Caenorhabditis elegans: one gene and its partners. The protein of the gene in region 1 purifies or fractionates together with the protein of each later gene. This does not show direct contact. Each region holds a gene or a part of one and is shown in the gene's direction. Other genes may lie near its edges.

Evidence for each region.
Region 2: the proteins of acdh-4 (region 1) and rfc-3 fractionate together in Caenorhabditis elegans (co-fractionation; one large-scale study listed by BioGRID). This does not show direct contact.
Region 3: the proteins of acdh-4 (region 1) and T27F6.6 fractionate together in Caenorhabditis elegans (co-fractionation; one large-scale study listed by BioGRID). This does not show direct contact.

Annotation. Positions count from the first base shown.
Region 1 is NC_003279.8:6,541,636-6,552,112, reverse strand, and holds acdh-4 (Short/branched chain specific acyl-CoA dehydrogenase, mitochondrial), read left to right. Parts: upstream 1-3,437; 5' UTR 3,438-3,481; coding exon 3,482-3,635; intron 3,636-3,685; coding exon 3,686-3,786; intron 3,787-4,016; coding exon 4,017-4,460; intron 4,461-4,828; coding exon 4,829-4,925; intron 4,926-4,973; coding exon 4,974-5,119; intron 5,120-5,169; coding exon 5,170-5,385; 3' UTR 5,386-5,496; downstream 5,497-10,477. Other genes in the region: spg-20 (Inheritance of peroxisomes protein 1), read left to right, coding at 18-113, 193-397, 444-812, 933-1,040, 1,093-1,427; F57B10.8 (Activator of basal transcription 1), read left to right, coding at 1,763-1,856, 1,930-2,081, 2,610-2,711, 2,759-2,928, 2,972-3,053, 3,106-3,312; T10E9.1 (F-box domain-containing protein), read right to left, coding at 5,618-5,806, 5,859-5,976, 6,022-6,245, 6,322-6,877, 6,921-7,003; T10E9.2 (C2H2-type domain-containing protein), read right to left, coding at 7,236-7,308, 7,356-7,777, 7,828-8,068, 8,128-8,280, 8,326-8,579, 8,628-8,787, 8,939-9,566, 9,619-9,697 and 2 more.
Region 2 is NC_003282.8:13,087,917-13,097,580, forward strand, and holds rfc-3 (Replication factor C subunit 3), read left to right. Parts: upstream 1-7,845; 5' UTR 7,846-7,852; coding exon 7,853-8,028; intron 8,029-8,072; coding exon 8,073-8,784; intron 8,785-8,845; coding exon 8,846-9,022; 3' UTR 9,023-9,164; downstream 9,165-9,664. Other genes in the region: spin-2 (Major facilitator superfamily (MFS) profile domain-containing protein), read left to right, coding at 1-552, 1,136-1,400, 1,474-1,568; col-132 (Nematode cuticle collagen N-terminal domain-containing protein), read right to left, coding at 1,727-2,419, 3,014-3,151; prcc-1 (Proline-rich protein PRCC), read right to left, coding at 3,381-3,467, 3,920-4,480, 5,213-5,716, 5,775-5,840; C39E9.12 (SAP domain-containing protein), read left to right, coding at 6,095-6,229, 6,274-6,424, 6,471-7,208, 7,258-7,463; dli-1 (Dynein light intermediate chain), read right to left, coding at 9,200-9,334, 9,382-9,612, 9,663-9,664.
Region 3 is NC_003279.8:12,486,319-12,498,300, forward strand, and holds T27F6.6 (Putative neutral sphingomyelinase), read left to right. Parts: upstream 1-4,657; 5' UTR 4,658-4,661; coding exon 4,662-4,755; intron 4,756-5,013; coding exon 5,014-5,281; intron 5,282-5,928; coding exon 5,929-6,136; intron 6,137-6,408; coding exon 6,409-6,672; intron 6,673-7,095; coding exon 7,096-7,327; intron 7,328-7,803; coding exon 7,804-8,042; 3' UTR 8,043-8,212; downstream 8,213-11,982. Other genes in the region: pars-2 (putative proline--tRNA ligase, mitochondrial), read left to right, coding at 723-844, 1,562-1,760, 2,551-2,823, 3,110-3,508, 3,890-4,075, 4,292-4,477; T27F6.7 (uncharacterized protein), read left to right, coding at 8,515-8,806, 9,401-9,551, 9,634-9,829, 10,742-10,876; K11D2.1 (RCC1 domain-containing protein 1), read left to right, coding at 11,171-11,182; T27F6.8 (F-box domain-containing protein), read right to left, coding at 11,294-11,375. UniProt on the Caenorhabditis elegans protein: Catalyzes the hydrolysis of sphingomyelin producing a ceramide (N-acyl-sphingoid base) and a phosphocholine. C.elegans contain specific sphingoid bases, which are unique or different in structure compared to the sphingoid bases found in other animals.

The DNA of each region.
Region 1 (10,477 bases):
TCATTTTCCTTTTTCAGAAAGAAGCAATCAGAATGCAGCTCGACTCCTTTGGATCTCAGGAAGCTGACTTGATTTATTTTTTGCCGGAAGGTGTGCAACTCTTCACAATTGATGTAAGTGTTTTCTTCTTTTGTTTAAATTTCTTTTATAGATAGTTTTCTAAATATTTCTACAATTTTATTATATTTTCAGGGGGAAAAAACAACTGCTCCAACTGCTCCAACATCTCTTCAAATTCTCCGTTTTCCTCAGCCAACTGATGGTGGAGCTTCTTCAGATACACTTGCATTCATGCAAGTTGGGCCTTGGGCATATCCATTGATGGGTGCAAAGACTCCAGTGCTTCGTAACGAATTCGGAGCATATTTGGTTGCCAATCCGACTCCAGAAAATCCAAGTGGGAAAAATTCAGACATTCAAAGATTTCAATTTGTAATTTTCAGACATGACTGTTGCAATCCTACTATCATCAGACATTGAGCGAAGATTAATTGAAGAACTTCACATTGTTCTCCGTGAATTCACGGATTTCAAAGAACAAGCTGAACCATCTACTGAACTGAGTAAAGAAGAGAAGAATAGGATTTCTACAACAATTTCGAATTTTCTGATCAAAGGAGGTCAAAAAATAGCTTGGGGAGTTGAAACAACAACCGTACGAGTGATTTCAAGAGTTGAAGATAATGGAGAACAGTATCGAACAACACTTATCGCAACGGACAAACCAATGCAAGTGTCTCCAGTTATCAAAGGAAGTGTAGTTTATATGCATAAAGGAACAAAGACAGTCGCTAAGTGCACAAGATATTTGTGTAAGTTTTCGACTTTAAGAGAGAAGTTTGTAGAGAAGAGATTCTGAAAAATATTTTGGACACGAAAAGTTGGCCAAATATTTTTTCAAGTATTAGGGATTTAAAAATTCAAATTTTCAGTGGACAAAATCGGAGATATGGGCGTTTCGATGGGAAAGAAATTGGCAGATAGTGCACAAAGACGATTTGGAGATGGAAAAAGTGGAGGACTCGTATCCGGAACCATTGGTATGGCTTATAACTGGTTTCCATAAAATAATTTTTATTTTACTATTTTCAGAAATTCTTGGAGGCGGAATCACTGGTGTTGCCACAGTTTGGATGAGTTTGGAAGATGGTTCCCGTCATCTATGCCGAAGTATTGCGAATCAAACTGTACAGAACGTGAAACTCAAGTACGGAGACGATGCATCAGATACCACTCATCATGCTCTTTTCGCTGCCGGACACGGAACACTTGCAGCTGCTCAACTATGGGATTTGGGACCAAGAAGTGTTGCTGGAAGGATGGCAAGAAAAGCTGGAATTCAAATGGTATCGGATTTGCATCACAGTAGAAAAGGAAGTCGTTTAGATCAAGAAGTGCCAGCTTTGGAGCTCAAGAAGGCTGTCTAGATTTTTTTTTTGAAAACATTATTTTAGAAACAATTTGAATACAAATTTCCTCATGTCTTCTTCAATTCCAGTTAATTTTTACGAAGTTTAATTTTTCATGCATCGAACTTAATTTTTTTGCATTGTATTATTTAATAAATCTATTTTCGCAAAACAGTTATATTTGAACCATACATGTATTTAATCTAAAATTCTATATCTCTGAATGTTTATGCCTTGAAAGCGCAAAAAATACCGATTTGTTTTCAGTGCGATTTTCGAAAAAAAAAAACGTAGAAAATTTTTGAGGATTTTAACGTATTGGAAAATCTCGAGCAATTATAAATTTTGGAAAAATGGCGCCTATTCCAAAAAAGAAGAAGAAAATTGTGAGAAAATCGATCAAAAAGCCTGTTGTAGAAGAAGATATGAAAATGGAAGAGGAAAAAGGTGAATATTCGAACTAATGCTTGCACTATAAATTGATTTCGCAATTTTTATCCGAAAATATCAAAATTTTCAGAAATGCTTGAACCAAAAGAGGAAAGCATTGAAACAGATAATAATGAAGATGAAGCTGGAAATCTGGACGATTCTGAAATTAAAACAGAAGAATCAGAAGATGATGAAATGGAGACTTTTGAGGATCCAGAACAAAAACAAAAGAAGACTGGTGTAAGTTTTTTTTTAACTTTTTTATTCGAAAATACCTGAGAATTAGGGTTGAATCCTAGAAAAAAAACGTTTTTTTCGTAATTGAAAAAATAAAAAAAAGCGAAACATTTTTTAATCGAAAAGGAAACATGAAAAATCGTTTTTTTTAAGCAGAGCTTATAACGAACATTTTTGCATTTTTTAAATAGAAACACTTTGCACAGTTACAATTCTGAGTGTCGTTTTTCTGTATAGAATTTATTCCGAGTCTAAAGCGCAAAAAAATACCAATTTTTTCCTAATTTTAATGAAAATTTATGAGTTTTGAGTTACCGACAGGTTAAAAGAATTTTCCAGGTTTTTTTCGCTTTTAAAAATTAATTTTGTTTAAAAAAACAAAAAATATTCTGCTCACAATCAGAATGTTAGAAAATTTTAAGTAATTCTTCAGAAGGATTAGTTAACTTCAAAAGATCCCTTCTCGGATTGTTGATAAAATATAATTTTAGACTATTTTAGAGGCCACAGATAAAAAAAAGTAATTTTCAGGTTGTCTTCTTCTCAACAATTCCTCCAAAATACAACGTGGTTCGAATGCGTGAATACTTTGAAAAGCGATGCCCTGGACAAGTTGGTCGAATCTTCCTTGCGGTAGCTTATTTTTTTTTCAAATGAAATCATAAAAATTATATTTTTAGCGTAACAAGCACTCGAAAAATCCGCAATATCTATATTCAGAAGGATGGATGGAGTTGAAAAAGAAAAAGATTGCAAAAGCAATTGCTGAACAAATTGATAACACTCCGATTGGTGGAAAGAATAAGGATCCAGTGTCGAGCATGTTATGGAATATTAGATATTTATCTGGGTAAGTTATTCATGAAAATATACATGAATTTTTATTTTTCTAGTTTCAAATGGGTACATCTTATGGAACAATTACAATATGAAAAAGAAGTGGAAAAACGACGAATGAATGTGGAAGTCGCACAGGTACAGTAACCCCCGGTATTGGCCACTTTGCATTAATATTCTTCTTTTCAAGGCTCGTCGAATTGCTGCTCACTTTGAAGAACAAATTGAGAAAGGAAAACATTTGAGAAAGCTTGAAGCAAAGGTTACAGCTTCCGGTGGAAAGTGGGATAAATTCCAGCGAGATGTCCAGCAGAAGAAGGTTGTGAAGGTGAAGAAGGAAAGATCAAAACATGTTAACACAGAGAGTAGCGAATTGATGAATATGATCTTCAAATAAAATTAAATCTTTTTTCTCATTGTTACTTTTATTGTTACTTTTTCACTGTTTTTGTTGCCCTATTGAAAACTTTTTTAAATATAAAAGCGTGACCATAATTCTCCTCCATGATCACACAAACCTTTTTCCAATGTTTAAAAATGTAGTTCCTTCTTTTGAATTCTTCCAAATGTCTCTTCTCGTCCACCAACTCCGTTTGAGCTCATGCAGACGCTTGATCTCTAGCACGTCATCATTGTTATCTTCAAAACCACGTAATGAGGATGATATTCCACATCCATTGCAAGTATTGTCGGAGCAGGAAACCGGATTCGTTAAAACTGGTTTGTACTGAAGAATTAAAAGATTCAGAGAATAAATAGTGCAATTTAAGTTCGTCAATTTGCGGATACAGTGATAAAACCTCTGGTTCGTGAAATGGATCGAACTTCGGAAATGACTCCAGCTGTGATCAATGGATGCTTTGAAAATGGGGTATTATATGAAAGTAATTATCCAGTTGCGACACTTTACGGTCTCGCAACGAAACAAATGTATTTTTTAATTAACTGCGCAAAACGATGCGCCTTCAAATTAGTACAGTAACCCATTTTTGAGAAATGTATTACTGTACTTCTTAAAGGCGCATACTTTTTTGCGCGACGTCTACATAGTATAGCAACTGGGTAATAATGTATTTTGAAAATGTTTAAAGTTAACCTCAGCTGATGGGCATCGAAGTTCCTGAAAAGTACGGTGGCCCTGGAGCAACGTTTTTCGATGCTGCTCTCGTAATTGAAGAAATTTCAAAAGTTGATGCATCGGTTGGAGCAATGGTTGATGTTCATAATACACTCTTTATTCCTTTAATTATTGAACTTGGAACAGAAAAACAAAAAGAGAAATATCTTCCAAAATGTTATACTTCATCAGTTGGATCATTTGCTCTTTCCGAGACCGGATCTGGATCTGATGCATTTGCATTGAAAACAACTGCAAAGAAAGATGGAGATGACTATGTGATTAATGGATCAAAGATGTGGATCTCAAATTCGGAGCAATCGGAAACATTCTTGGTGTTTGCTAATGCGGATCCAAGTAAAGGATACAAAGGAATTACATGTTTCATTGTTGAAAAGGGTACTAAAGGATTTACCATTGGAAAGCATGTAAGTTAACTTTTATAACCATTTTCCAGAGTTATTTATTGTGACTTTTCGCTCAAAAAAGTCTCGCCACGAACAAAATATCAAGTCAATGACGCTCAAAATGAGTGCCTCCAAGAAGTACAGTAACCCATTGTATCGTTTTTTCATCGTCTCTTCTATCCAAGACATTATTTTGCTGAAAAAATTATTGAAAAACATGAAATACATCAAGGACTCAAAGGAAATCAATGGAAGCAGGCATATGGGGTTACTGTATTCCAGTTATTTTATTCCTGGCGAGAACGGGGGTACAGTAGTTTGTACAAAAACGCAACAAATCGAGTTTTGCGGTTCCGCTTTAAAATGGACGTAATAATCATCAAGTTCAGGAGGACAAATTGGGAGTTCGTTCATCTTCTACGTGCCCACTTCATTTTGATAATGTACGCGTTCACAAGTCGGCAATTCTTGGAGAATTTGGAAAAGGTTGACTATAGAATTAATAATTCCAATTTAAGTACACAATGTTTAAAGGTTACAAGTACGCAATTGAATATTTGAATGCTGGTCGTATCGGAATTGGAGCTCAAATGCTTGGATTAGCTCAAGGATGTTTTGATCAGACAATTCCATATCTTCAACAAAGAGAACAGTTTGGGCAGAGAATTATTGATTTCCAGGTGAGACATAAAACATGACAGAGAAATATATATATACAATAGACTTCTAGGGAATGCAACATCAAATTGCTCAAGTCAGAACTGAAATCGAAGCTGCTCGTCTGTTGGTTTACAATGCTGCTCGTATGAAGCAACACGGATTACCATTTGTTCGTGAGGCAGCAATGGCGAAGCTCTTTGCATCACCAAAGAATTCCCCGTCGAGAAATACTATCGTGACTGTAAAATTGGAACGATTTACGAAGGAACTTCCAACATTCAATTGAGCACCATCGCGAAGCTAATTGACGCCGAATTTAAACAGAAGGCCTGAAAATGTACCTCTCCTCCTTATTGCGAGGGTTAATTCGATATTCTCATTTGATAAATATGGATTCATGTTGGTGTTCTAAGGGAAAATGTTGTTTGAAAATTTATTCTAATTTGTATCTATTGAACGTCTAGTTATATAAAATTATAAGAGAACGAGAGAAAAAACGAAACGTTACAATTTGATTATTAATAGAATTCTTCGTTTTCCCCATAATCTGTATCTTCATAGTCAGATTCATCGAGATTATCTTCATAACGTTCGTAGTCATAATCGGGATCAAAATTGCTATCCTCATCGTTATCATAATCATCATAATTGTCATCGTACTCCGAAGAATCGTCAGCGAAATGGGGTAGACCGAGTAGAATTTTCTTCTGAAAAATAACGTATTTATTTGGAGACATGAAAACTGAATATTGAACTTACAAAACTAGGCGAGAAATCATAATTTCCGGTTTTTCCAATTTCTAAATTAATCCAATTCTCACTTTTCCATAAAACTACAAGTCTTTGATCATCTGGAAGTTGCTTGTGATATACATTGCTGAAATTAAGATATTCAAAAAATAATTGTCAAATTATGACATACTGGCCAGAGTCCTGCTCAACTTGTGTAAATCCTGCAGGAATATTTTCAAAATCTAGGCCACTTGGGTTCATGATGTCAAGTTTCGATCCAGTTGATCTGGTAGCCACGAACTTCTCGATGACGTCACAAATAAGGTCACCAGTAAACTTCTTGGATTTGAGAGAGATCACTGACGCTTTTAGTGCCATGACGTCTTCATAGGTTGCTGTGGTGATAGTAGAGATCTGAAACACATAATTTCTCTAGTCACAAGTTATATGTTTTCTAAAGTGCAACGCATATATTCATAACTCATCTTACCTCGATTTTGTCCATTTTTTGCACAATTGCCGCATTTTTCCCGAGAAAATCGAAATCATCGTCATCATCACGAGCTTGTCCGTCTATTTTCAAACCATTCAGCAAACTTCCATCACATTTATCAAACATTTTCCAGAGAAGGTCACATTTTCGCGGATTTCTCCAAAAAATGGATTGAACTTTTAGAGAACTTTCCATGTTATCTAATGTCTCCATAAACTTATTATTCAATTCCTCGAAATTATCTGATAATTCTACAGTTAGGAATCCAATAACAACATTATTTTGAAAACACATTCGATTAAGGAATGCGATAGCCTCATCAATTGGTCGAGATCCTTCAATTATAATATCATTTTTCGAAGATTGGGAGATTCTTGTGTCGCATTCGGGAGTCATTTTAAACTTGAGAGAATGTACATCTTTGAATAGTTTAAATGTAAGTTTTACGAGAACTCCTACACTGTGAAGATCCTTGATATAGACCGATGGAATGAAGAGTTTTGTAGATGAAACAGCATGATTCATAGTAGAAGAGGTTGCACGAAGTTTGCATCTAAAGTTTTGATTTTTTTAAAATTATTTAAGGAGAATAATACCTTGAAATTAAATCACATTTCTCGATAAGCTTCTCTAACAATTCTGGGGGCAAGTCTAATATTTCGATAGGTTTTCTCACCATCTGAAATTCAGAAAAAGCAATTATTTCGGATCAGTTTGTTACAGCAAACCTTGGCGGAAATTTTGAAAATATATCACAAATAATCTGAGACCTGAGCTGTACAACAGAAGTTGGAAACAAAAAAAAAAGTTGAAAATAGTTTTAAAAATTGAAAGCATTTATTTTTTGAGTATCGAAAAACTATTTTTGAAACTATTTTAATAAATTAACAACGAATAAATTACTACGTAATCTAACAATCATCTGAATCACTACTGGAATCGTTTGAAATATCAATCTTCTTCCTTTTTGCTGCTGTGCGAACACTGAAAAAAGAAAATTGAAAAATTTAATTTAATTTTTACAAACTCACAGTTCTTTGATATCTTTTAATCTCATATTATTCCAATTATTTCCTGCTATTCGTTCCGTGGTAGTTTCCGATTCCATATCTTCTCCTTCTGATGATGATGACTGATCTTTCCAGTCAACTCCTCGCTTTTCAGCTTCTCTTTTAACCCATTCACGAACTTCAGCTGGCCTCATTTTTGATAAATCTTTCACTTTAAGTTCTGTACTTTTCGATCTTTCTCGTCTCTCATCTTTTGTAGTAGCTTCTAATAACAAATTCCGTTCGAATCTATCGTCTTCAGAGTTTGATTCATCCGACGAAGACGAAGAAGAGCACGATGATTCATTCCACGTGTCTTTCCTATTTCGAAAGTTATCTTGGAGAACTTTGAAGGTTTCAGTGAGAAGTTTTCGAGCATTCATAGCAGATCTTCGACCACTTGGCTGAAAATTTTGATATTTATAATTTTAATTTTAAAAGTATTTTGAATTACCGTATAAATTTCTCCATCAGTGTCTCTTTCACTTTTGCCAGGCGTAGTTACTTCTGAGAATCGAGGAACATTCAGGTAACTTCTTTTAGCTAATAAATCCATTTTTGATTTTAGCCGCTTCCCATCGACAGACAAAATATTGTGTGGTTCATCATCAAGTCCACCATCCGAATAGTTATTTTGTCCCATCAATTCATTCGCGGTTTCAGTATAAGACGCTGGACGAAGTTTTGCAGTTTCTCTGGAAATTCGAAGGGTTTAATTTCACGAAAAATTTTGTAGAATATTCTAAAAAAGAACCTGGTGACGACTCTAAATCCATGAAGAACGATATGAAGTAGAAAATCAATTTTATTAAATGATCGATAGCAGAACCCACAAATGACTGTCTCGTTGATGAAATCTTTTGGAATAAAAAAGTATTGCTGTGGAAGAGTATAATCATTTGGATCTCTGAAAGTTTTTGTTCTGATAAGAACATATTTTGAAAAAAATTACGTTGCATTGAACGTTGATTCTCCCTTAATCGTATACTGAAGAGGTGTGAATGTTCTAATATCGAATGAAGCTCTGATTTCATGTTTCGCCGATAACCATTCATAATTCATGAATTCTTCAGTAAAAAGGTACTTGTGATGTTGATCAATATGTCGAAGAGCATACATTCTCATAATGAGTTGAGTCGTGAAAATGTGAGCATGGGCACGTGGACAGAGACAACAACGCCACTTGAATTCATCTTTTCGTAGGTTCTAAAAATCGAAAAAATTATTTAAATTTGAAATTGAAAAAAAATGTACCTTGAAAACATTAGAATATAGAAACAATTCCTTGGGAAATTCAAAAGTGTATACTTCTTCTTCTTCTGGATTTTCAGCGTTATTCACATTCTCACCGGCTTCGTTCGCAACTTCTTTTGGGTCAGGTTGGACATGTGTGAAGGATGAGCTCGATGCGATACTGAACAAATAATAATTGAAAAAAACGAATGTTATGCAGGCAGGCCTTATCAAAAAATCAGAGTTGTGCTACGAATTCAGTAATTTTGGTGCTCCAGAATATATCAAAATTGTTCAAGTTTTACTACGCAATAGTTTTTTATTTAACTTACGGATCTAGACAACTATGACTTGATAATCGAAAGTGTTGTTTAATTGTTTCAGAAGACACCAAGCAGCAACAAACAAGACAATATCTGACTTCTTCCTTCTCCATTCCACTTCTTTTCTTCAACTTTGTCAGGAAATTCTCACCGTTTTCCATTTTAGACAAGTTAATAGTGTAAAATGTCAAATAGCTCCGCCCTTTGCACATAATTCTTTGTTGTCGTATATGCATTAAGGCTCTCACATCGAAATCAGTCTCTTCATTGAGATGATACCACTCAAATTCGAAAAACCCAGGAACACTAACCATAACTTCTTCGAAATGATGATGTTCTAAATGAGTCAGGGCGTATGTCCGCATACTGATTGTCTCATTGAAATTAACGGCTGATTTTCCTTCACACATTGGACATTTCCAGCTAAATTTTGAATTTAGAATTCGGAATGTCCCAAGAGACCGCCCATTTTTAAAGTTCTGCCACCATCTTGCAGAGTTTGAACTGAAGCTGTTTAGTGTGGAATCCGTTGAAGAGAGGCGAATACCCCAAAAGTTTGAATATGATTTTCCAGCGGCGATCCGAAGTTCGATTAAAGAGTTGTCAATGGAAAATTTGATGTGACGATAATTGCAGGCTGAAATTTAAATTTAAAATATCGAATTTTGCTTCATCCCAAGTTTACTTACCATGAATTCGTTTCAGATGATCTTCTGTTTCTTCTTTATTTACAGGAATACAGCAGGTACGACATTGGGTTACTTCGTTCTACAGTAAGTCTTTCATTAATATTATTTTAAATATTTATTCCTACCTGATGGCTCATTGCATGTTCCAAATGTTCTTTTTCATCGTTTCCCATCAGTTTGGAGCAGTATCCACAGACATGCAACAGATTTTGCTGAAAACAAGTATTTTTTCGCTCTGATTAATTACCAATTTCTACAAACCTGTTGCAAACTATTTGAATCGATACTTGATGAGTTTCGTCGAAGCTGTTTTCTTTTTGGAGGCATTATAAGTTTGAAAAATAAAAGAAAATGGAAAGAAATCTCGCTAATTTGTCCATTCAAAAAACAATTCTACCCGCGTTTCTCTGCTGTCTCCGTTCTCTGCCGCGTGACGAAAGAGCGCGCTTGCATTAATTCATTTCGGCGGTTATTCAAAACAGAGTTTTTGGCAGATTTTCAAAAGTTTCAATTAGTTTCCAATTAAAGGCATAGGCAGGTTAAGAATATTTATTGTCTCACTGGAATCATAGTAATTATAACAGATTAGATGATGTCAAAATTGTAGAACAACTTTTTTGGACGTTCCAAGGTGGTAGAAGTCGTTATTTCAAAATGATAATTTTTAAAACTATCATGAACCTTTTTGCGAAAAATAACGTTTTTTCCTTGTTATAAATATTGTTATTTTTAAAATTACGAACTATGTATTTAGTTATAGAATGTATATGGACACTGTTAGAGGTACATACAATTGAAGCATAACGTCAACAGTGGAGACACAGACAACGAACTATTGGATAGTCGTTCTTTTCCGAAT
Region 2 (9,664 bases), on another chromosome or scaffold:
TTCACCTATGAGCCTGAGCGAGGAGCCGCTGATAAGGCGATGGGAGAGTCGAAGGATGTTGTTGTGACTACGAATACTACATATTTGGAAGATCTTGTCATTCTTCTCAAGACCCCAACACTTGTTGCATGCACTTGGGGATACACTGCCCTGGTATTCGTGTCTGGAACTCTTTCGTGGTGGGAGCCTACAGTAATTCAACATTTGACTGCTTGGCATCAAGGACTTAATGACACAAAGGATCTGGCAAGTACTGATAAGGATCGAGTAGCTCTTTATTTCGGAGCAATCACCACAGCTGGAGGACTCATCGGTGTCATTTTCGGATCGATGCTCTCCAAATGGCTGGTAGCTGGATGGGGACCATTCAGAAGACTCCAGACAGACAGAGCACAGCCTTTGGTGGCTGGTGGCGGGGCGTTGCTTGCTGCTCCATTTTTACTTATTGGAATGATCTTTGGAGATAAGAGCTTGGTGTTGCTGTACATTATGATCTTCTTTGGAATCACCTTCATGTGCTTCAACTGGGGTCTGAACATCGATATGTTGACGGTTAGTGATGCGACATTGAAATTTTTAAATTCAATGAGTGAAACAGGGTGTTCAGTGATTGATTTTCCCGATTCCTATTGACTTTTGTTGTTTGTGAAGCGAATCAAATTTGAAGCTTTTCTCAAAAATATTTTCATTTTTTAGTGATCGAAAAATCAATCTCCGATAAAAATATTTAGAGTTTCCGTAAAGATCAAGGATCCTTCAACTGCGTTTTCTGCAAAAATAAACGAACGTGAAAACTGTTTCTCTTTTTTCAAAAAGTACCTGAAAATCGGTTCAATTACTGTACTGAAACAGACAAAATAAGTTAAAAAACCGGAAAACCTGAAAACCAAAAAAAAACAAACCGCCGCACACTCGTGGCGCCAGGCTGTCCTATTACGGTTTGACCTACAAAAAATGCGGGATTTTTTTGTCCAAAAAAATGTGACGTCAGCACGTTCTTAACCATGCAAAATCAATTGAGAACTTTGCGTCTTTTCTCCCGCATTTTTTGTAGATCAACGTAGATCAAGCCGAAATGAGACACTCTGACACCACGTGCACACCAGAGAACGCATAATAGCAGAACAAATTTCAGACTGTCATCCACCCGAATCGGCGAAGTACTGCTTTCTCCTACTTCGTACTGGTATCCCATTTGTTTGGCGACGCTTCTGGTCCGTATCTCATCGGGTTAATCTCCGACGCAATCCGCCACGGATCCACATATCCTAAAGATCAATATCATTCATTGGTAAGTGCCACGTATTGCTGCGTGGCACTGCTTTTGCTCTCTGCCGGACTGTACTTTGTGTCCTCACTCACGCTGGTCTCGGATCGGAAGAAGTTCCGAGCGGAAATGGGTAAGTGCTCGTTGTTCTTGTATGGTGTCGGGGAAACGTATATTTTAGTCAGCTATTATTGGAATTATTTCAGGTCTCGATGATCTTCAATCCAAGCCGATTCGAACATCAACTGACAGTTTGGAACGGATTGGAATTAACGACGACGTTGCGTCGTCCCGACTTTAATTCCTCCTTGATTTCATTGCTTTAATGTCCATAATTTGGGTTTATGTATTTTTAGAACAACGGGTTTTTTGTCGTTTTTGTGAAGATTTTTGTAAACTGCTAATTTTTATTGTATAAATAAAAACTCTTTTAAATAAAAAAAAATGTTTCGGAATAAATTAGAAGACAAGACGTGCCGAACGAAGTGGACAGCTACAGTAGGCTGCATCAGGTCCTGGGATTCCAGGTGGTCCTTCAGGTCCTGGCTCCCCTTCGTCTCCCCGCTCTCCATCCAATCCTGCTGCTCCAGGTGGTCCCTCTTCCCCTTCTGGCCCAGGAATTCCTGGCTCTCCATCCTTGCCTGGGAGTCCTTCAGCTCCTGCAACACCCGGTGCCCCTGGTGCTCCTGGCATTCCTATCTCTCTGATTCCACTGGCGCCTGGTCTTCCATCGACACCTGGCTCCCCGTCTTCTCCTTGATCTCCAGCATCTCCAGGTTCTCCCTCGACACCTGGTGGTCCATCATGTCCAACTTCAAAGTTGTCAACTCCCGGTGGTCCTGGTGGTCCCTGCTCTCCTGGCTCTCCGTCTGGACCTGGAGGTCCTGGCTCTCCGACTGGGCAGCGAATGCATGGGGGTCTTTGATAGATGAGGGATTGATCAAAGAGTGGAAAGTCTGGTCCGGGTTGTCCTGCGTCTCCATTCCATCCGTCATCTCCAGGGGCTCCTGGCTCTCCTGGTGGTCCTGCAGGTCCGGGTGGGCAGTTATTGACCTTATTCATGCATCCACACTTTGATTCTCCACTTCTCTTTTGTCTTACGACGGAGCGATTGATTTCGATCATATCATCCCAGGCTTCAGTTGCGAACTTCTGAAAAATTAGGCCAGATTGATGAAAAAAATTGCCGCGTCGTGAGCCGTGAGTCGTGAGCAATTATTTCAAAAAAAAAAAACTTTGATAATATTTTTCGAATCAATGTTATCTTTAACTATACTATTGCAGTTTCAGAGACTTTAATGTTTTTCCACAAGGAACACTTGGTATTCCGCATAGTTTCTTATTATCCCACACGAGAAATTTTGTGCATTTTGAGCTGAAACTACGGTCACCGGTCTCGACACGAAAAACTTTTGTTAAATAAAAAAGGTGTGCGCCTTTAAAGAGTACTGTGTTTTCGTTGCTACGTAATTTGTATCTGGTTTTTCACAGTTTTTCTCATGAATTTACGTGTTTTTATTGTTATATTTGCCAAAAAACTGTGAAAAAATCGATAATTTTTGCTCTTGCAGAACTTTCATCGATTGTTTTAAAAATAGTTATTTGTTAAAAATTATATACAAACACGCGGAAAATCGATTAAAATTCTGCAACAGCACAAGTTTGAAACTACAGTAACCTTTAAAGGCGCACGATTTTTCTTGGATTTAACGAAAAATTGTCGTGTTTTTTACAGAAAAAACTCACATTGAACTCTGCCACGTCATCAAGTGCCGTGGAATAAAAAGTCCGAAAATCTGCGAAAATGAGCAGCCCCGCTGTAATATACCCGACGACGAGTATCGACGAAACCGAGACGGCTGCGCAAATGAAGTTGTTCGACATTTCAGACAATCTCTGCCTGTCCTCCTTGCCTTCCAATCGGCCTTATGTACTCTGCCGGCTAATGCCCGTTTAACGAGCGATCGCGCAATTTTCTCATCATTATAACGTGCTTATACTTTCAAAACGAATGAATTCATTTCGTGTTTATATGGGTGTTTATCATCAAAACAACACACAAATACAAGGGAGAGAGAAAACTGAATGATTAATGAGACATTTCGAAATGATATTAGAATCCGTACTTTTGTCGCGCCATTCGCTTCGATTGCTTCTGATCGGCCCATTGATCTTTGAGCTGCTCCTCGCGGGATACTGCCTGAAATTAAGTGAATTATGTGATTTCTAGCACAAGCTCTTAAAAAGTGTTGATCTACGCAGATTTCATACTCCACGAGGACAACTTTGCACTTTTGTTTGGCTAAAATCGGGTTTTTCGATTTTTTTAAAATAAATTGTTAATTTTGAAAAAAAAACTGTATTTTTGTAATTGAAATCAATTGATTTTGCATTTTCGGTGAATTTATATTTTTCTCGTATTTTTCCGTAAAATTATTGTTTCCGATTTGTCGGTTTTCGAAAAAATTGAAAATTTTCGTTTTTTTTTAAATCTTCAATTTTTTGAAGACCGAATATTCCATCAAGAAATTCAGCCAAAAAATGAGAAATAAGTTTTAAAAAATTGACTTTTCCATTCTTTCGCGATTTTTTTTTTGGGTTTTTGATGCAAGTAAAAGCCTGAAAATCTATAAAATCTGGAATATCTCTTACCAAGCTGGCCAAATACGTAATTTGATGCTTTCTTCTCGACATTTGTCCTTGAGTTTGAACTTGTGGCAATGGAGCAGAAGTTGCTTCAACAAATGCGCGATGTCCAAGATTCTTGATAATATTTGTCTTAACATCCGGTCCGAGAGCATCATCCACATTCACATCGACAATTGAATTGGCCATTTCGTTGATCGAACGACGTTCTTCTTGTCCAATATCATGAGAGAATCGCATCAAAAGCTTATGAGCTTGCTCGTCATTGATCTTCCGATGAAGCCAGGCATTTGAAGCAGATGGACCTTCTTGAACATCTTCTTCTTCTTCTGGCATTTCATACATTTGTCGAGGATCCATTCCTTCATCTGGACGGGATGGCCCAACTACATCCATGCTGCTGTTCATTGTCATATATGGAATTTCTGATGGAATTTCTGATTCTTTTCTAGTTGGAGCAGATGAGAAACCGAAGAAATCGGTTGGACCGTCATCATCGTCATCACTGTCGTCTGGCAGTTTTGGAGCTGGAGCCGGCTTGAAAACTGGAGCAGCAGCAGGTGTAGCCTGGAAGAGAAAGAGTTTTAAAATTAAAGTTTTAAATTAAATAAAAATTCAGTGAAGAAATCTGGAAATTTTATCCTGATTTTTAATATTTATGGGGACAAAAATCGAACAAAAATTCCCCGGTTTTATATTTTAGCTTGAAACAGCGAATTTTCGCGCCAGAGACGCCGTGTGTCGATTTACGAGATTTGTGTATATTTACAAGATTTTCAATCTTTATCGGATGCTGATTTCTGTTTTTCAACGAGTTTTCTTTATTTCCGTCGGTTTTTGACAAAATGTTTTGAGAAAATGTGTTTATTAAGGCCAATTAAACATTATATTATCAAAAAACCAAGTAAATTTCCAATGCTTAGGTCACAACTCAGCGGAAAATCCAAATATATGCTTTTCCTGACTGAAAATCGAATATTTAGTTAGTTTTTTGATATTATAATGTTTAATTAACCTCAAAAAAAAACACATTTTCAAAAAACGTTTCGGCAAAAACTGACGAAAATTGAGAAAACCGGAAATCAGCATCCGATTAAGATTGAAAATCTCGTAAATATACACACATTTCGTAAATCGACACATGACGTCTCTGGTGTGAAAATTCGGAAATCTCATGGGGACGCAAATGAAAATCGGCGATTTCAAGCTGAAATAAGAAATTAGGGAAATTTTTTTACTTAGTTATTCGAAATCAGAAGTATATTTTCTCAGAATCCGCACTCGACTTTCAATTTTTACCTTTTTAGAAACTGAATGTGGAACCATGGACTTATCGAATACATTTGCACCATCTGAACGATTATCTCTTCCTTTTGGAGCTGGAAGGTTTGACAAAAAACTGTTTCCAAGCTTCGGCTTAACTGTAGCAACAGCAGCACCTTCATTATCACTGTCATCGCTGGAATTTTCGCCAGTAATTCCTGCGAGAGCTCCGAACGCCGAAATTATAACTTTTCCTTTTGCTTTTTGAATTCCACCACCAATTTTCGGAATTTTTTCAACTTTCATCGCTTTTTTCGCCAATTTTTTCTCCTTTTTTCTCTCTTCTTTTTGTGCTTTTTTCAGAGCTTTTTTCTCCAGCTTTCTCCTTGCTTTCTCGGCCAATTTAACCTCCCATTCTTTCGGTTTTACTAATTCTTCGAGAACATCTTCTTTGTTCATGTTTGGTGAGCTTGATTTTTCTGTATTGTCAAAAAATGCTTCATCATCGACGAGTTGTTGATTTTGTGGAGCGAGTGAATTCTGAAATTTTGGAAAATTCGAAAATGTTTTCAAACTGAATAAAGAATAATTTGCTTACTTTTTGTTGTGTTTCCATTTCTTCATCACTTTCTGATTCACTTCCTGCGTAATCCACAAGGCCCATTTTGAGAAGAATTCTTCGAAGAAACGAATAATTTCAGACGAAATAAACAATACGAATATTGATTTCTTTATTCGAGAGGACTACACACAATAAGAAAGCAACAGCGCTCCAACGTACACCGCGCGAAAAACACAATTTTTCAAACAGCGATGGAGGGAAATTTCTTGAGTCCTATTTTGTTTCTTGTTCATTTGTTCCTTGTTTCATTTGCTTTTCTGTTCTCACTATTCAATAAAAATAATAATTTCAGTAAAATGTCAGCCAAAAATAAAGAGCTCGCCGAAGAGGACGTGCTCAACATGACATGCGACAAGCTTCGCAAGGAGTTAAAGAAGAAAAGGGCTTCGACTGCGGGAAAGAAATCGGAACTTCAATCGCGTCTTTTGGAGGTTTGAACTCAGTCGAAACAATGTGATTAATTTAACTTTTTCAGTTTCTCGCTGGCCAAAATAATGCCGGAAACGGGGAGGCAATCAGGGAAGAGCCGGAAGCCGAGGCTATGGACACCGACGAAGCACCTGCCAATCGCACATTCACAGTTGAAGAGGAAGAAGAAACTGAGAATACTACTGGCAGATTTGTTCGTAAGTTATATTCCATTTAGTTGAAATTTAAACAGCTTTATTACAGACGAGAATACTCCGACAAATGCGGTTGCTGTCGTTTTGGATGATGACTTGAGAAACCGTCTCTGTGGCAGTTTGGGAATCGATCTGCAAAGCTTCGAGGTGAAGTCACGCCCGAGAGTTCATCGTCTTTCGACAAGACTGTCTCTCCGCGCTAGTTCGTCGACTCCTCAAACATCTGAGCGACCAGGAATGCCGATCGAGAACAGAGGAATTACGCCAGTTCGTCAGCGTGCTCCATCCAGTGGAAGAGACAGATTCGCAATGATTCATGCAAGAGAGATGGAAAAAGAAGAAACACTCGGAGAGCGTCAAGAACGATTGAAGAAACGACACGAATTCATGACCGGCGACGTCCCAGAAGCTATCAGGAGACTTGCTACCCCGAAAAGTGTGCCAAGACGTGACCCAGTTGATAGATCAACTACAAGATCTGCTGCGCGCAATTGGCAAGTTCAGGATCCTGAGAAAATGTCCTTCCAATTCGGGGATAAATCTGCTGATGATTTTCCCGCTCTTGTCAGCTCACGAGCTGGCTGCTCATCGTCATCTGCTGCCACCACCTCTACCAAAAAGACAAAGTCCGTTGCAAGATCTCATGTGGACGTGAAGAAGCTCACCAAGTCACAAATCCCGAAACCATGCCGTTTAACTTCTCGAAAAATCATTCCTGCAACTGTCCCAGAAGATGATACATTCACCGAGTACATTTCCACGCCAAAAGGAACCACTCCAACTAGAGGTAACTATTCATATTTATCTTTTTTTCGCTAATTCATAGCAATTTTTAGTTCCACGACGTGCTGGTTACACACCACACTCTACGAGAAAAGTGTTCGTCGACACGACTCAATTGACGGATCGCGAGTTCACTTTGGCACTGGAGGAAGGATTAATCCCCGGAAGAGCTGCCACGAACCTCGAGAAACAACAAGTGGAGAACAAGAAGCGCCGTGACGACATTATCGCACTCAAGCGTAAAATGAATATCAAGTAGATATCTCAATTATTTTCTTATTTATCTTCACTCACTCGTCTCACTAGGCTAAACCTGTAAAATATTTCGTTGTTGACTTGTCGAGTTTCTGAAAATGAATTCTTTTAATTTATTACAATTCTCTTTATTTATTTTCTATTTATTTATTCCTCTATTCAATTGTTTGCGACAATTGTGATATCTTTGAATATGTCTTTTAATTTTTTTAGCAAGAAATATACGGTGGATCCGGATTCCCGAAGCGCAATTCGCGGCACGGTTTAATTTTTTAATTTACCATAAAAGCGCGTGCCGCGGAATTACTTTTCGGGTTCCACCTTCTATTTCTCGCGCTTATTTTGGACTTTAATTACTCTGACAATATAATATTAATCTTTTCTAGTGCAAAAATGGCGTTGTGGGTGGACAAATATCGACCAAAGGACTTGTTGGGAAAGGATGGCGTTGATTATCACATCGAGCAGGCCAATCATTTGAAGTTTCTCTCCGCAGACTGTATGCCGCATCTCTTGTTCTGTGGTCCCAGTGGAGCTGGAAAAAAGACACGGATCAAGTGTCTGTTGAGGTTTAATTATTGGTAAATTCAGTAAATAAAATAATATTTTTCAGAGAGCTTTACGGTGTTGGAGTCGAGAAAACGCAGCTCATCATGAAGTCGTTCACTAGTCCGTCGAATAAAAAACTTGAAATACAGACTGTCTCGAGCAATTATCACATCGAAATGACGCCGTCTGATGTTGGAATCTATGATCGAGTTGTTGTGCAGGATCTCGTTAAAGAAATGGCACAAACGTCTCAAATCGAATCAACTTCTCAAAGATCGTTCAAAGTTGTCGTTCTTTGTGAAGCGGACTCACTGACTCGTGATGCTCAACACGGACTTCGTCGAACTATGGAGAAGTACGCGAATAACTGTAAAATCGTTTTGAGCTGTGAATCCCTGTCCCGTATCATTGAGCCACTTCAATCTCGTTGCATCATCATCAATGTGCCAGCTCCAACCGATGAAGATGTGACCAAAGTCTTGCGGAAAGTGATTGAACGGGAGAGCTTTCTACTTCCGGAGAACGTTTTGCAAAAGATTGTGGAGAAGTCTGAAGGAAATCTGAGAAGAGCTATTCTGATGACTGAGGCTTTAAGAATGGAGAACGAGAGTGGTGTGGCTGAAAGTGTAGTAATTCCGGTTCCGGAATGGGAGATTTATATCCAAGAGACTGCTCGTCTGATCCTCCAGAAACAGAGCTCCGATATGCTTCTGAAAGTTCGCGAACGATTGTACGAATTGCTCTCCAGATGTATTCCACCAACTGTCATTTTTAAGGTGAGTTATAAGCACACAAATAGTATAAAATGTTCAAAAATATTTAGAAATACATTTTCAGAAACTTCTCGAGCATCTCCTTCCCAAATGTCCGCCACAAATTGCACGTGAAGTTGTCAGTGAAGCAGCGAAATTCGAGCATCGCCTTGTTCTCGGACAAAAAGCAATTTTCCATCTTGAAGGATTCGTCGCCGCTTTCATGGACATTTACCTTACTAATGCTTCTAAACCCAAGTGATCTCTGTCCCCGCGTATTATATTATTCTACTTTTGTGTAATCATAAACTTGAAACGAACTACATTATGGTTGTGTGGGTATTTACAGAAACAGCATATAATAAAAATCGTATCGCAAAGGAGAATAAAATGACCGGCGATAAAGCTTAAAATATTTAAATAGATTATGAAAATGACGTTATGCATCACTGTCCCGGGGTTGAGGTTTCGGGCTTTGCGCAGACTTCAGAAGACGATCGAGTTGGGCCTGGGTGGCTGCGGCATCCATCGGCTGGGAAACAGTGGAAGGAGAGCTCACCTTGCTCGGCTTGTCCTGAAATATGGAAATTCACATAGAAAAAAGATCTAAGATTGATTTACCTTATTGAGCAAGTTGGAGAAGAAATTGGCGAGTGGACTGTCCTTATCGGTAGGCTCTTCTTGCATAGTCCTCGGCTTGGGAGCGGCCGTAGTGGTTGAAGTTGCCAGGATGTCCATCAACTTCTTCAAGAAAGCCTGATCTTCCTCGGCTTCGATGAGCTGCTCTTTTGCGACAGGTCTAAGCTTATCGCGAGTCGGCTCTAAAGCTGAATCCACATCCGGAATAGACTCCTGAAATTAATCATGAACTCGGATTCTCCAATTACTTATGTAAAACTTACAC
Region 3 (11,982 bases), 5.9 Mb from region 1:
TTCTAATAATTCTTTGTTCAATCCCATCATTCTTACCCCAACTTCTGTTTCAGCTCCCCCCAATTCCTCCTAATTATTCTAATTTATTACAAGCTCCTCCCATCTCCAACCCTCCGTGCTTGCGAAAATAAACGTTTTATAAGTAAAAAATTGTGTTTTTTTTCTGAAATTTTTCGAAAAAATAGGTTTTCGACTCGGGAAGTACTTTACTAGTTATGGCAAATCGAATGAAAAGCTGAAAAAAATTTTTGCCACAGCGCGAGCTTGAACCCCGGTCTTGTGATTGGTGGGCGACGAGAATCTCACTGCGCCAATCGGACACAAAAGTGCTGTAATAATCGATTTTCGGTTGAAATTACTGTTTTTTACCACTTTCTAGACGATTTCCTTTCTTTTCTGTGTATTTTTTTTTTAATTTTTCTAGTAGGAAAATTGAATTTTAAGCGATTAATAAAGAAAAAAAATCAATTTTCAAGAGAGATTTTTGGAATTCAAGCATTTTTATTAAATTTAAAATCTTTTTTCTTAATTTCTACCTATTTTAGTTTATTTCTCCCATTTATTCCCTTTTGTTTCCATCCAAAACCCACAATTTCCGGCCGGTGTGCGGTGGAGCGCGCTTGCACACTTTTATTCCAGCTAGCTGCTCGCCCCGATTTTTGCTCAATTTCATTGATTTTTCGCCGATTTTCTTGCAGAATTCCATGAAATCCAGATGAAAAATGCTTTTTAAAGCGAGAAAATGGATTTTAAGTGGTGCGAGTGCTCAAAAAAGCAAAAGTATGGCTCATACGATGCTCGTCGAGAATGGATTTATTTTGCCGACGGCGAAAGGATTTTATAGGTGAGTTTTTTGTGAAAATTGATGTAAAAATCGTGAAAATCACAAGAAATTGTCCTGAAAGCTGTGGAAATGTCAAAAATTGTGCAAAATATTAGGAAAATTGGATTTTTTTCAGTTTTTAGCGCAAAAAATCTGAAAATCGTTTTTCGAAGTGAAATTTGCTGAAAATTATTTAAGTTTCATTTATTATTCTGAGATAATTGGAAAAACAACTGAAAATTGTCGAATTCAGCGCAAAAATGCCCAAAATTTTTCCATAAACGGTTTTTTTTCCACAAAAAACCTCATTTTGCAGTTCGAAAATTAGATTTTTACGTAGAACAGCCCCAAAAAAAATTCTAGCAAAAAATTTAATTTTCTAATTAAAAAATTAAAAATTCCTCAAAAACCGACGATTTTCCGTCAAATAATTATTTTTCCGCTGAAATTTTTTCGAAATTCGAGATTTTCTCAATTTTTCCAGAAATCTGAGTTCAAATTCAGATTCTACGTGGCAAATAACCGCTTATCATCCATTTTCAAAGTTTTTATGCAAAATTCCGTCAAATTCGGTGTCTGGTACGCAAACACTAGGCTACAGTAACCCCGGGACATCCGATTTGACGACATTTTGCACTAAAACTCTCAAAATTATGATTTAAGAGTATTTTTCCACGTAGAATCCGATTCTGAGCTTCAAATTTCACAAAAAATCAAAATTTATGCGAATTTTTGCAGTCTCCTGCCCCTCGGACAACGTGTAATCGACAAGTTGTGCCGAATTCTCGACGTGGAATTTCAGAACTCGGGAGCTCTGAAAATCGCGATGCCGATCGTCGGAACACAGCAATTATGGGAAAAAACTGGCAGATGGGAGGCGATGGGACCGGAAATGATTCGATTTCACGACCGACAGCAGAATCATATGTGCCTTCAAGTGGGTGAGCAGTTGGAAATGGGGAAAAATTGATGAAACAACTCTAAATTCCTAAATTCTGAGCTCAAAATCGGATTTCTCGTAGCAAATTACCCCTTCATCCCAATTTTCAGTTCTTTAGTGCAATATGTCGTAAAATTCGGTGTCCCGGGGTTACTGTAGCATGGTGTTTGCGTGCCTGGCACCGAATTTGACGGGATTTTGCACAAAAACCTGAAAATGCTGGATTTGAGGTTATTTGCACTGTAGAATCCAAATTTGAACTCAGATTTTCAAAATTTTGAGTTTTAGTGCAATATGTCGCAAAATCCGGTGTCCCGGGGTTACTGTAGCATGGTGTTTGCGTGCCTGGCACCGAATTTGACGGGATTTTGCACAAAAACATTGAAAAAGTCAAAATAGGGATTATTTACCACGTGGAATCCGAATTTAAACTCAGATTTTCAGACTTTTGACTTACGAGCCAAACTTTTGGGCCAAAAATTCACTTTTTGCCGAAAAAATCCACTAAATAGTCAAAACTTCGGAATTCTGAGCTCAAAATCGGAGTTCCCATAGCAAATTACCCCTAGACCGCAATTGTCAGGTCTTTAGTGCAAAATGTCGTCAAATCAAGTGTCCCGGGGTTACTGTAGCCTGGTGTTTGCGTACTTGACACCGAATTTAACGGGATTTCGTCCAAACACTCTAAAAATAAAAGGATATATGTTATTTAGCACGGAGAACTCGAAGTTTAACTCAGAAATTCAAATTATTTAGGTTTTTGCCCGAAAAAATCCAATTTTTTCAGCCAACCGCCGAGGAAATGTGCACAGAACTGATCGCAACACTATCACCGCTCAAAAAATCACAATTTCCCCTTATTGTCTATCAAATCGGTGAAAAATTTCGCGATGAAATGAATCCGAGATTCGGATTAATGCGTGGGCGTCAATTTCTAATGAAGGATATGTATTCGTTTTCCACTGATGCGGAGACATCTCAACAAACATATGCACAGATTCGTCAGATTTATGATCGAATTTTTGGAGAGATTTTGCAGTTGGACGAGGATGTGATTAAGGTGAAAATTTCATTTAAAAAAAGTAGAAAAATCGATTTTTAGACTCAAAAATTCAAAATTTTGAGCTAAAATTGGCAAGTTTTGACTCATTTTTAGTCTAAAATCGTTGAAAACTCGAGTTTTAACCCAAAAATTCAAATTTTCCGCCAACCGCATGTCGCTTGTGCGCTCTATTGCGAATTGTCGATAGAGCGCATCTACAACGTGCGATCCGCGGGAAATCTGAATTTTAGGCTTAAATTTTGCTGCAAACGCGCCCCAACGACAGAAATCCAAAATTTTTCAGGTGGAAGCAGATTCCGGAGTACATGGAGGTCATATAAGTCATGAATATCACCTGAAAAGCAGTTTGGAGGAGGATTTTGTGAATTTCTGCGAAAATTGCAAAAATCACAACAAATTCGAAGGTCCAGGGCCGGCGAAATGTGAAAAATGTGCTGAAAATTCATCAAAAACTGTGCAAAAAATCCCATCCGTCGAAATTGCGCACACATTCCACCTCGGCACCAAATATTCAGAAGCTCTCGGAGCCAAATTTCAAGGAAAACCATTGGATATGTGCTGTTTTGGAATTGGTGTAACACGGCTTCTTCCGGCGGCAATTGATTTGTTATCAGTTAGTGATAAGGCTCTCCGACTGCCCAGAGCTATCGCTCCGTTCGATGCTGTGATTATTGTAAAGAAAGTGAGCAATTTTGGAGAAAAAATTGAGAAAAATCGAATTTTTCGCTAAAAAATCGTGAAAAATCAAGATTTTTCACTGCGAAATCCAGAAAATTCGATAAAATCTTAGTTTTCAACTCAAAAATTCAAATTTCCCGCCGACCGCATGACGCAACTGCGCTCCATTGAGAAAACTGCCATTTTCGTGTTAAATTTTTTTTTTTCGATTTTCCCTACTGAAAATGATTTTTTTGGAGAAAAAACGAATAGAATATCATTAGAGCGCACTTGCAACCTGTGATCGACAAGAAATGTGAATTTCTGAGATGATTTTTGACGCTTTTTGGCGATTTTTGCTCTAAAATGTTTAAAAAATTAATTTTTCAACCAATTTTCCTTGCAGAGCCTCATGTCGAATGTGATTGTGGAAATGGCGAGCTCGTCGGCTTCTCGTTATCTAAAAGGAGGCATTTTATTGGACGATCGTGTGGAAATGTCGGCCGGAAAGCGAATTCACGACGCAAATCGACTCGGAATTCCATTTATTCTCGTTATTGCGAACGAGACGGAGCGGAGTCTTGCTACGCAGGTAAAAACGGTCGAAAATTCCATTTTTTCAGCAAAGAAAAAGCGGAAATTCCACGAAAAAACGGGAGAAAATAGGCGAAAATTTGAAAATTTCAGCAAAAAATTCAAATTTTCCGCTGCTCGTTTACTGCAAATGCGCTCCAATGATAATTTTCACATCGGAGCGCATTTGCAGCCTAAAAAAACACAATTTTAAGCCAATTTTCCCCTATTTCAGAAGCCCGTCATCGAGGTATTCACGACACACGCCAAGTCTGCGGAGCCCATGTCTCAGGGCTCAATGAGCTTGGACCGTTTCGTGACTTTTGTGCAATCTACGCTTTATGGAGGTGGCGGAGCACACGATTCTGGTCATTTGGCACATAATCAAGTACTTGATCAACTCGGATCTCATCAGCATTGAATTTTGTTGAAAATTTGATTTTTAGGAGATTTCTATGGTTTTTTTGTTACATTTCTTTGATTTTCTTGTTTTTTCCTGAAAAAATGTGATTTTTAGACTCTTTCTAGTGTTTTTTGAGGTTTTCGAACCTTTTTATACCTATTTTGCCCTTCAAAACACGAATTTAAGCCCATATTCCAGGCTAATGGAGCCATCCAGCGAGCAAGAGTCCCAGGAAAGTCAGAAAGTCGACATGGAGCCGGTTTTCCGCCGGGAATCATTCGCCGCGTTGAGAAGAAGTGAGAAAATTGGAAAAAAAACGGCTGAAATTCAAGTTTTTCACCCAAGAATTTGAATTTTCTACCGACTGCACTGTGCAAATGCGCTCCAATGAGAAAACTGTCGTTGGAGCGCGATTGCAGCAGGATCGGCGGGAATTTCAAATTTCTGAATCAAAATATTGATATTTCGCTAGTTTTGCGCGTATTTTAGCTTAATTTTCAATCAGGGATCTAATTTTTCACGATTTTCCCTCCCGAATTATCGATTTTTTGCAGATAACGTGGCTGCTCGTCAACTCCGTGTGGTTACCCTTAACGCGTGGTGTCTCCCACAACCCTGGCCCATCGGATCTACGGATCGAGTTCACCGACTGAATAAAATCGGCCAATACATGATTGATGAGCTCTACGACATTGTCGGGCTCCAGGAGCTCTGGTCATATTATGATTTTGTGCGACTCAGCGAGCAAGTCTCGTCGGTTTATCCGTATTTTCACTATTTTCACTCGGGATTCACTGGCAGTGGTGTCTGTGTGTTTTCTAGGTGATTTTTTCTACAAAAAGATTTAAAAAATCGATAAAATCCTACTTTTTCCGAAAGTTGTCCGAATGGCGCAGTGGGATTTCCGCCGACTACCAATCTGAAGAGCGGGGTTCGAGTCCCCACTAAGGCAACATTTTTTGATTTATTGTGCATACGCTGCAAAAGTTTTTTTTTTAACTTAAAAATCTTAGCATTCCCACAAAATTAGTTTAAAAATTTTTTCTGAAAACATGTAATTTTTTCTGAAAATATGACAATTTTTTTTCGAAAAATCCAAATCTCAACTCTAAACCTTCACTAAAAACAGTTTCCTGCTCATTTTACAACGTCTAGAATCTAATTTCTGCAAAACAAAAAATAGTTGCCACCGTGGGGGGTCGAACCCCGGTCTTCAGTTTGGTGGTAGCCATCGAAAATCCCACTGCGCCACTTGTTCACATTGAAAAAATTTTCGGTTTTTTTCAAACATTTTGTTAAATTTTTAGAAATTTGTGGAATATTTGGGTTAAAAGGATAAAACTGAACAAAATTACGTTTAATATAATATCCTTTTAATATTAATAAAATTTAATATAATATAATATCCAAAAAAAAAAATTTTTCCGAATTTTCATCAAATCTTCTCCAATTTTTTTCCATATTTTCAGACACCCAATCGTATCCACTTTAACAAATCGATATTCTCTCAACGGATTCGCTCATCACATTCACCGCGGCGACTGGTTCGGCGGAAAAGTTGTCGGGCTTACCGAAATCGAGATTGACGGCGATTTGCGCGTCAATTTCTACACAACACATCTTCACGCGGAGTACGATCGTGAAAATGATCTCTATTTGCCGCACAGAACCGCGCAGGTGCTTGAAAACTCGAAAAATTCAGAAAAAATCAATATTTTAGGAAGTTTTACTCAAAAAATTAATTTTTCCATCAAGATTTCGCAGTTTTTAACTCAAAAATTCAAATTCCCGCCAAAAAATCCATAGGACTTCTTGCAAGTGCGCTCTATTGATAATTATGCATTAGAGCGCATTTGCAGCTGGGAATTTGATTTTTCGAGTCAATTTTTCGAGCATGTGACTCGAAAATAAGTGAAATAGACAATTTTTGACAAAATTTAATTTTTCAGGCATTCGAACTTGCTCAATTCGTCCGCCATACGGCTCGCGGAGCCGACGTTGTCATTGTGACCGGAGATTTGAATATGGAACCGTGTGATTTGGGCTTCCGGCTTATTTTGTCGCATGCCAAACTTTTCGACGCGTGGCGAATGAGCCACGAAGTGGAAAATGAGGATTCCGAAGGAGAACTACTCAAATTTCGAGGAATTGCAAAAGGCGGAACGTGTGATCGACCAGACAATTGTTATACGAAGCGGGCGCTGAAAAATGTGGTGCGAATTTGAAAAATTCGCTGAAAATTGAAAAAATCGTGAATTTTACTCGAAAATTCGAAAATTTAGGATAAAAATTGCTAAAATTTGGATTTTATAGCCTAAAATACTATGAAAATTGTAAAAATTCATAAAAATTCGTGAATTTTTCACGAAAATTTGAATTTTCCCCGATTTTCTCATTGGTGCGCACTTGCAATGTAGTGATCGCCGCGAAATTCAATTTTCCAGCACAAAATTGGAGAAAATCAGGGATTTTTTTTGGTATTTTATCTGAAAAATCTGAATTTGAACCGATTTCCTTGAATTTTAGAGCGTTTTTCACCAGATTTTCTCCAAAAAATCGATGTGCACAATTTTTACGCAAAAAAAAAATAAAAAATAGGAAAAATCAATAATTTATCGATTTTTTTCAAATTTCAGGACGACTCCAAACGCATCGACTATATGCTATTCAAATCCGGGCGGTGCAATGTAAAATTGGAGGAATGTGAGATCACGTTGAACCAAATTCCCGGTGAAGACCTTAATTATTCGGATCACGTTGGCCTCCGCGCTCGTTTCACGATTGATGATCGTTTTCGACACGAAAAATCTGTTAACACTTGGGAACCGAATCGTCCGTTGCTTATTGAGGCTATCGGGCTTGTTGCAGGTGCGGAAAAGTTAGGCCACCGAGTGGAAATTGGTGGCCGAACTTTTTTCTGTAGTGTTTAAGAACACAGATTTTGCACTCGTGGCCTAGAATTTTTGAAAAACTAGGCCATCGTGTAGAAAAGTTAGGCCACCGAGTGGAAATTGGTGGTCGAACTCTTTTCCGTAGTTTTCCTGGGAAAAACACATGTTTCTGTGCAAAAAAATGCGAGAATTGGTTTAAAAAATCTTATTTTGTACTCGAGGCCTAGAATATTTGGAAACTAGTCCCTCCAAGAAAAAAAGTTAGGCCACCGGCTCAAATTTTGTGGTTTTCTACTTTTTTTCTTTTTTTTTGACATTAAAAAATTTATTTCATGTTCGTAAAACTAAAAAGTCCATAAAAATCAAGTTTTTTAAAAACTAGGCCACCAAATGAAAAGTTCGGCCACCAACTGAAAATAGCCGATTTTTCCCCAATTTTTTGCATTTTTTCAGGCGGAGAACGTCGCGCACGCACGGATCGCATCTTTTTCTTCATTTTGGCGGTAATTTGTCTGATTTTAATCCTCGGAAGCCTATTTTTCGAAGTTTTTCCGATGGGATTCGCCGTTTTACGCTTTGCACTGACTGTCGTTGGAGTTTTCTTCGTTTGGCAAGGACTTATTGGCTTAACGTTGGAACGGAAGGCTTTGAAGGCCGCAAAACAGGCGATTCAGCAGATTTTGAATAATTAAACGCTGAAAATTGCAATTTTTAACCCAAAAATTCAAATTTCCCGCCAAAATTCGAATTTGTACAGCTTTATTATTAAGGGCATCTAGTTTCTCAACCGTTTTATCGATTTTTTTCTGTGATATAGTTTTTTTTTGCTAATTTTCCTGTTGAAATGAAGAATTTTATTATATATTTTGATTTTTCTCTAATTTTTTCTGTGAATTTGAATCGTTTTCATGCGATTTTCATATTTTTATTGATTAATAAAGTCAGGCCACTGCCAGAAAACTGCGGGGACTAGAAAAATCTACCTGAAGATTAGGCCACCACTGTTTGGAATGATGGTTTTTGGCGAATTTTTGGTCAAAATTCGCCATTTTTGACAGATTTTTGTGAAAAATTCAAATTTCGGTTGTCGTAAATCTAGTCCACCAACTTGAAAAGAAGTTAGGCCATAAACTCCTTTCTAGCTGATTTTTCTGCAGAAACACAATGGATCGAATGTTGGGATGGTTGAAACGTCGATCGGAGAACGCCCAGGTCACCTACTCGCGATTCGGACTGCCCGGTGACGAAGTGGACGAACGGCCGCCACCCACGCTCTGCCACGTGGCACATTTTGACGACGACGCTCCGGAATACCGCGCGTTTTTTACACATGCGACACGGGCGGCCGCCATTGCCGCTGGCTTTGGGCTCAGCTGCTCGCTCTTCTCGTTTGCAATGTTCTTGTTCGAATTCCGATGGGATGATCATGGCCGAGGTTTCGATGCGGGCACTGTTGGTATGGAAAATTAATGAAAAATTAAATTTCCGGCACTTTTGTCGTTGGAGCGCACTTTCAGCATGCGATCGGCGCGAAATTTAAATTTTTGAGTCTATTATAAAGATCTTGGCCAAAATTTTGCACAAAAACGATAATAATCTCAGGTTCTGTTGATTTTTTCGCCGAAAATTTAAGTTTTCGGCATATCTCTCAATAGAGCGCGCTTGCCAGCGATCGGCTGGAAAACTGGAATTTTTCCTTCAAATTCGAAATTTCTGGGGCATTTCTCAATAGAGCAGACTTGCATCAGGCGTGAAATTTGATTTTCTAGCACGAAATCTCTACAAATCGTGAAATGTTACGAAAATTCAAACAATTTTCTCATGAAAGTTGAAATTCGATTTTTTGAAAATTGATCACAAATTTATTTCGAAAACCTAAAAAAACTTTCGATCGGATGCAGTAAGCGCGCTCTATCGACAAATCTGGTAGTTTTCGCAATAGAGCGCGCTTGCAACATGCGGTCGGCGCAAAATTCAAATTTTTGAGTTATTTTTCCAGTTTTTAAGCAAAATTCGTCCTGAAAATCCAAAAAATTCAAAATTTTTGCAGTTGCCTCCCTCCTGTTCCTGATAATCGGCGTCCTAGTCCATTGGCAAGTTATAATCGGAATAAAAAAGGAGTCTGCGGTGCATATGATCCCAGCAATCATGGTCTACACGTTTTTGATTGTCGTCGAGCTGATTGTCTACGTTTTGGCCGCGTAAGTTTAGAAACTGCCCGGCGGACTAGAAAACGCAGCTGAAAAACCTCGGCCACCACTTGAAAATCCAATTTTTCTTCAGAAATCACCTCGTCAACTCGGCTTCCCTGTTCGCCTATCCACCGGACAAACAGACGCCAACGTTCCTCACATTATCGATTTTCTACCTGACACTTGTCGGAATTCAGACTTCGATGCTTTTGTCGATTACCAAGGCTCGGAACTACTACGAAGCCAAGGATATCCATAAAAAGGAGGTTCGGGTTGCCGAACATGGGGTTAGTTGCCGGAAAAGTTGAAATATTTTCGTGAAATTACTGTTTTTGAGCCAAAAATGATCTTTTTAGCGGTTTTAGCTTTGAAAAACGCTAAATTTGGCGATTTTCGAGCCAGAAATGGTCTTGACACGACAATTTTCTGTGGACTTCAAAAGGGTGTGCGCCTTTAAAGAGTACTGTAGCTTCTAACTTTTCGTAATTCTTCTCAGGAGTGAGCAGCAATTGCGGTTTGACAAGTGTTTTCCGGCAAATCGACAAATTGCCGGTTTGCCGGAAATTTTCAATTCCGGCAAATTGCCGATTTGCCGGACAGCTTTAATTCCGGCAAAGCGCCGATTTGCCAGAAATTTTCAATTCCGACAAAGTGCCGATTTCTCGAACAGCTTCAATTCTGACAGTTTACCGATTTGCCGGAAATTTTCAATATGGCAAATTACCGGTTTGCCGAAAAATTTCAATTCCGGCAAATTGACGATTTGCCGAAAAAAATCGTTTGCCGCCCATCCCTGGTTTTTCTCACAAATACAGCGATTTTTAATAAAAAACCATGAAAAATCGATGAAAATTCCGCGAAACAACGTAATTTTGTACCTGCAGTACTCATTAAAGGCGCACGCCCGCTTTTAGTCTAAAAATAAATTGTCGTGTCGAGACCCAGTACCATATATTTGACCCAAAAATACAAAATTTCACAGCTGGGCAACATTCCAGGGACCCAGCGGGAAGAGCCGAAATTGTGTAGGTTTACGGAGCTGTAGTAAAGAGGAAGGCTCCGTAAATCTACACAATCTCGGCACGCTACGAGACCCTTAAATTTTGATTTTCAGTGTTCAAAACCGCTGAAAATCTTAAAGATTTTACTCAAAAATTAATAAAATTCCTCAAAAATCCTCAAAATTTCCCTGTTTCCAGAAACGCCTCAATCCCCAAATGCAAATTGTCTACGTCAAAGACGGTGACCAGGTGGACCCCATGTCGACCGACGGTGAGCCGGTGACGTCACCACCGCCACGTGTCATTTTGGCGGCCAACGATGACATTGCCTAAATTGTTCCCTTTTTCTATTTTTAATGTAAAACCTGTATTTCTCTCTCCAATCTGTGTATCTTCTGTACCATGGCTTTATTTTGCATAATTTCTCACCAATTTCTTGTCAGTTCTTCTTACCTTGCCGTTTTTTCATGTAAAAATACATAAATTTTAGTCCAAAAATTTTTTTCTGAATTTTCTGCACCAAGTTTCCCGGATTCTTTTACCGAAATTTAGCGATTTTCTGCCAAAAATTTCAGAAAAAAGGATAGGAATTTTTATTATTACAGAGTGTCTCAAACAATCGGAATTATGTACAGAATGGTGAGGAATTTTTTTTTTGAAAATTTTTCAAAAAAAGTGTGGAGGTTGTAAAGCTAATGAGAGGGAGGGCAAGACGATGAGAAAAACGAAGAAATTATGAAAAAAAGTGATTTACACGTGGCACTCCTTGGGCGAATTGTTGTTGAAGACGATCTCGTAGCGATGATCCCATCCGAGGGAACCTGTCCAGCATCTGAAAAAATTTTGATTAAGGATACTGTGTTTTGTTGGTTGGACTTGTGTTCCGTACGCCCTTCTAATGTGATAAGTTTGGCCAAATTACCCGGGAATCACCAGAAATCACAATTAGAACTAATTAATTCTGAATTACGGTGGATTTCGTCGAAAACCCTGATGAAAACCTTTAAAAATTGAAGATTTGGGGGGGGGGGGGGGTCTAATTAAGCCCAAAGCGTAGAAAATGAGCGAAAATGTAGTTTGACAACACATTTTGCTGACATAAGCTTTAAGTCCTATGCCTAAGCCTCAGCCGAAGCTTAAAAACCTGTGCCAAATTGCCTACAGAATAAGGGTCGACACTTCTGAGTCACCACTCGAACCGGATGTCTCAGGGCTCTAACCTAACAAGCCTGAGAGGCCAAGGCTACGGGCCAAACAATCAGCCACCAATTCTTAGTTCCTTTGAGTCTACGGTTTAGACCTGAAACGGAAGTCTAAGGGTATTAGCCTGAGCCTAAGATTCTGGGGCTATCTGGGGCTTGATCCAGACTTGAAACATATGTCTTATAGCCGTAACCTAAGAATGTGAGCTGGAGTTCAAAAAGGCCTTAGATAGAGTG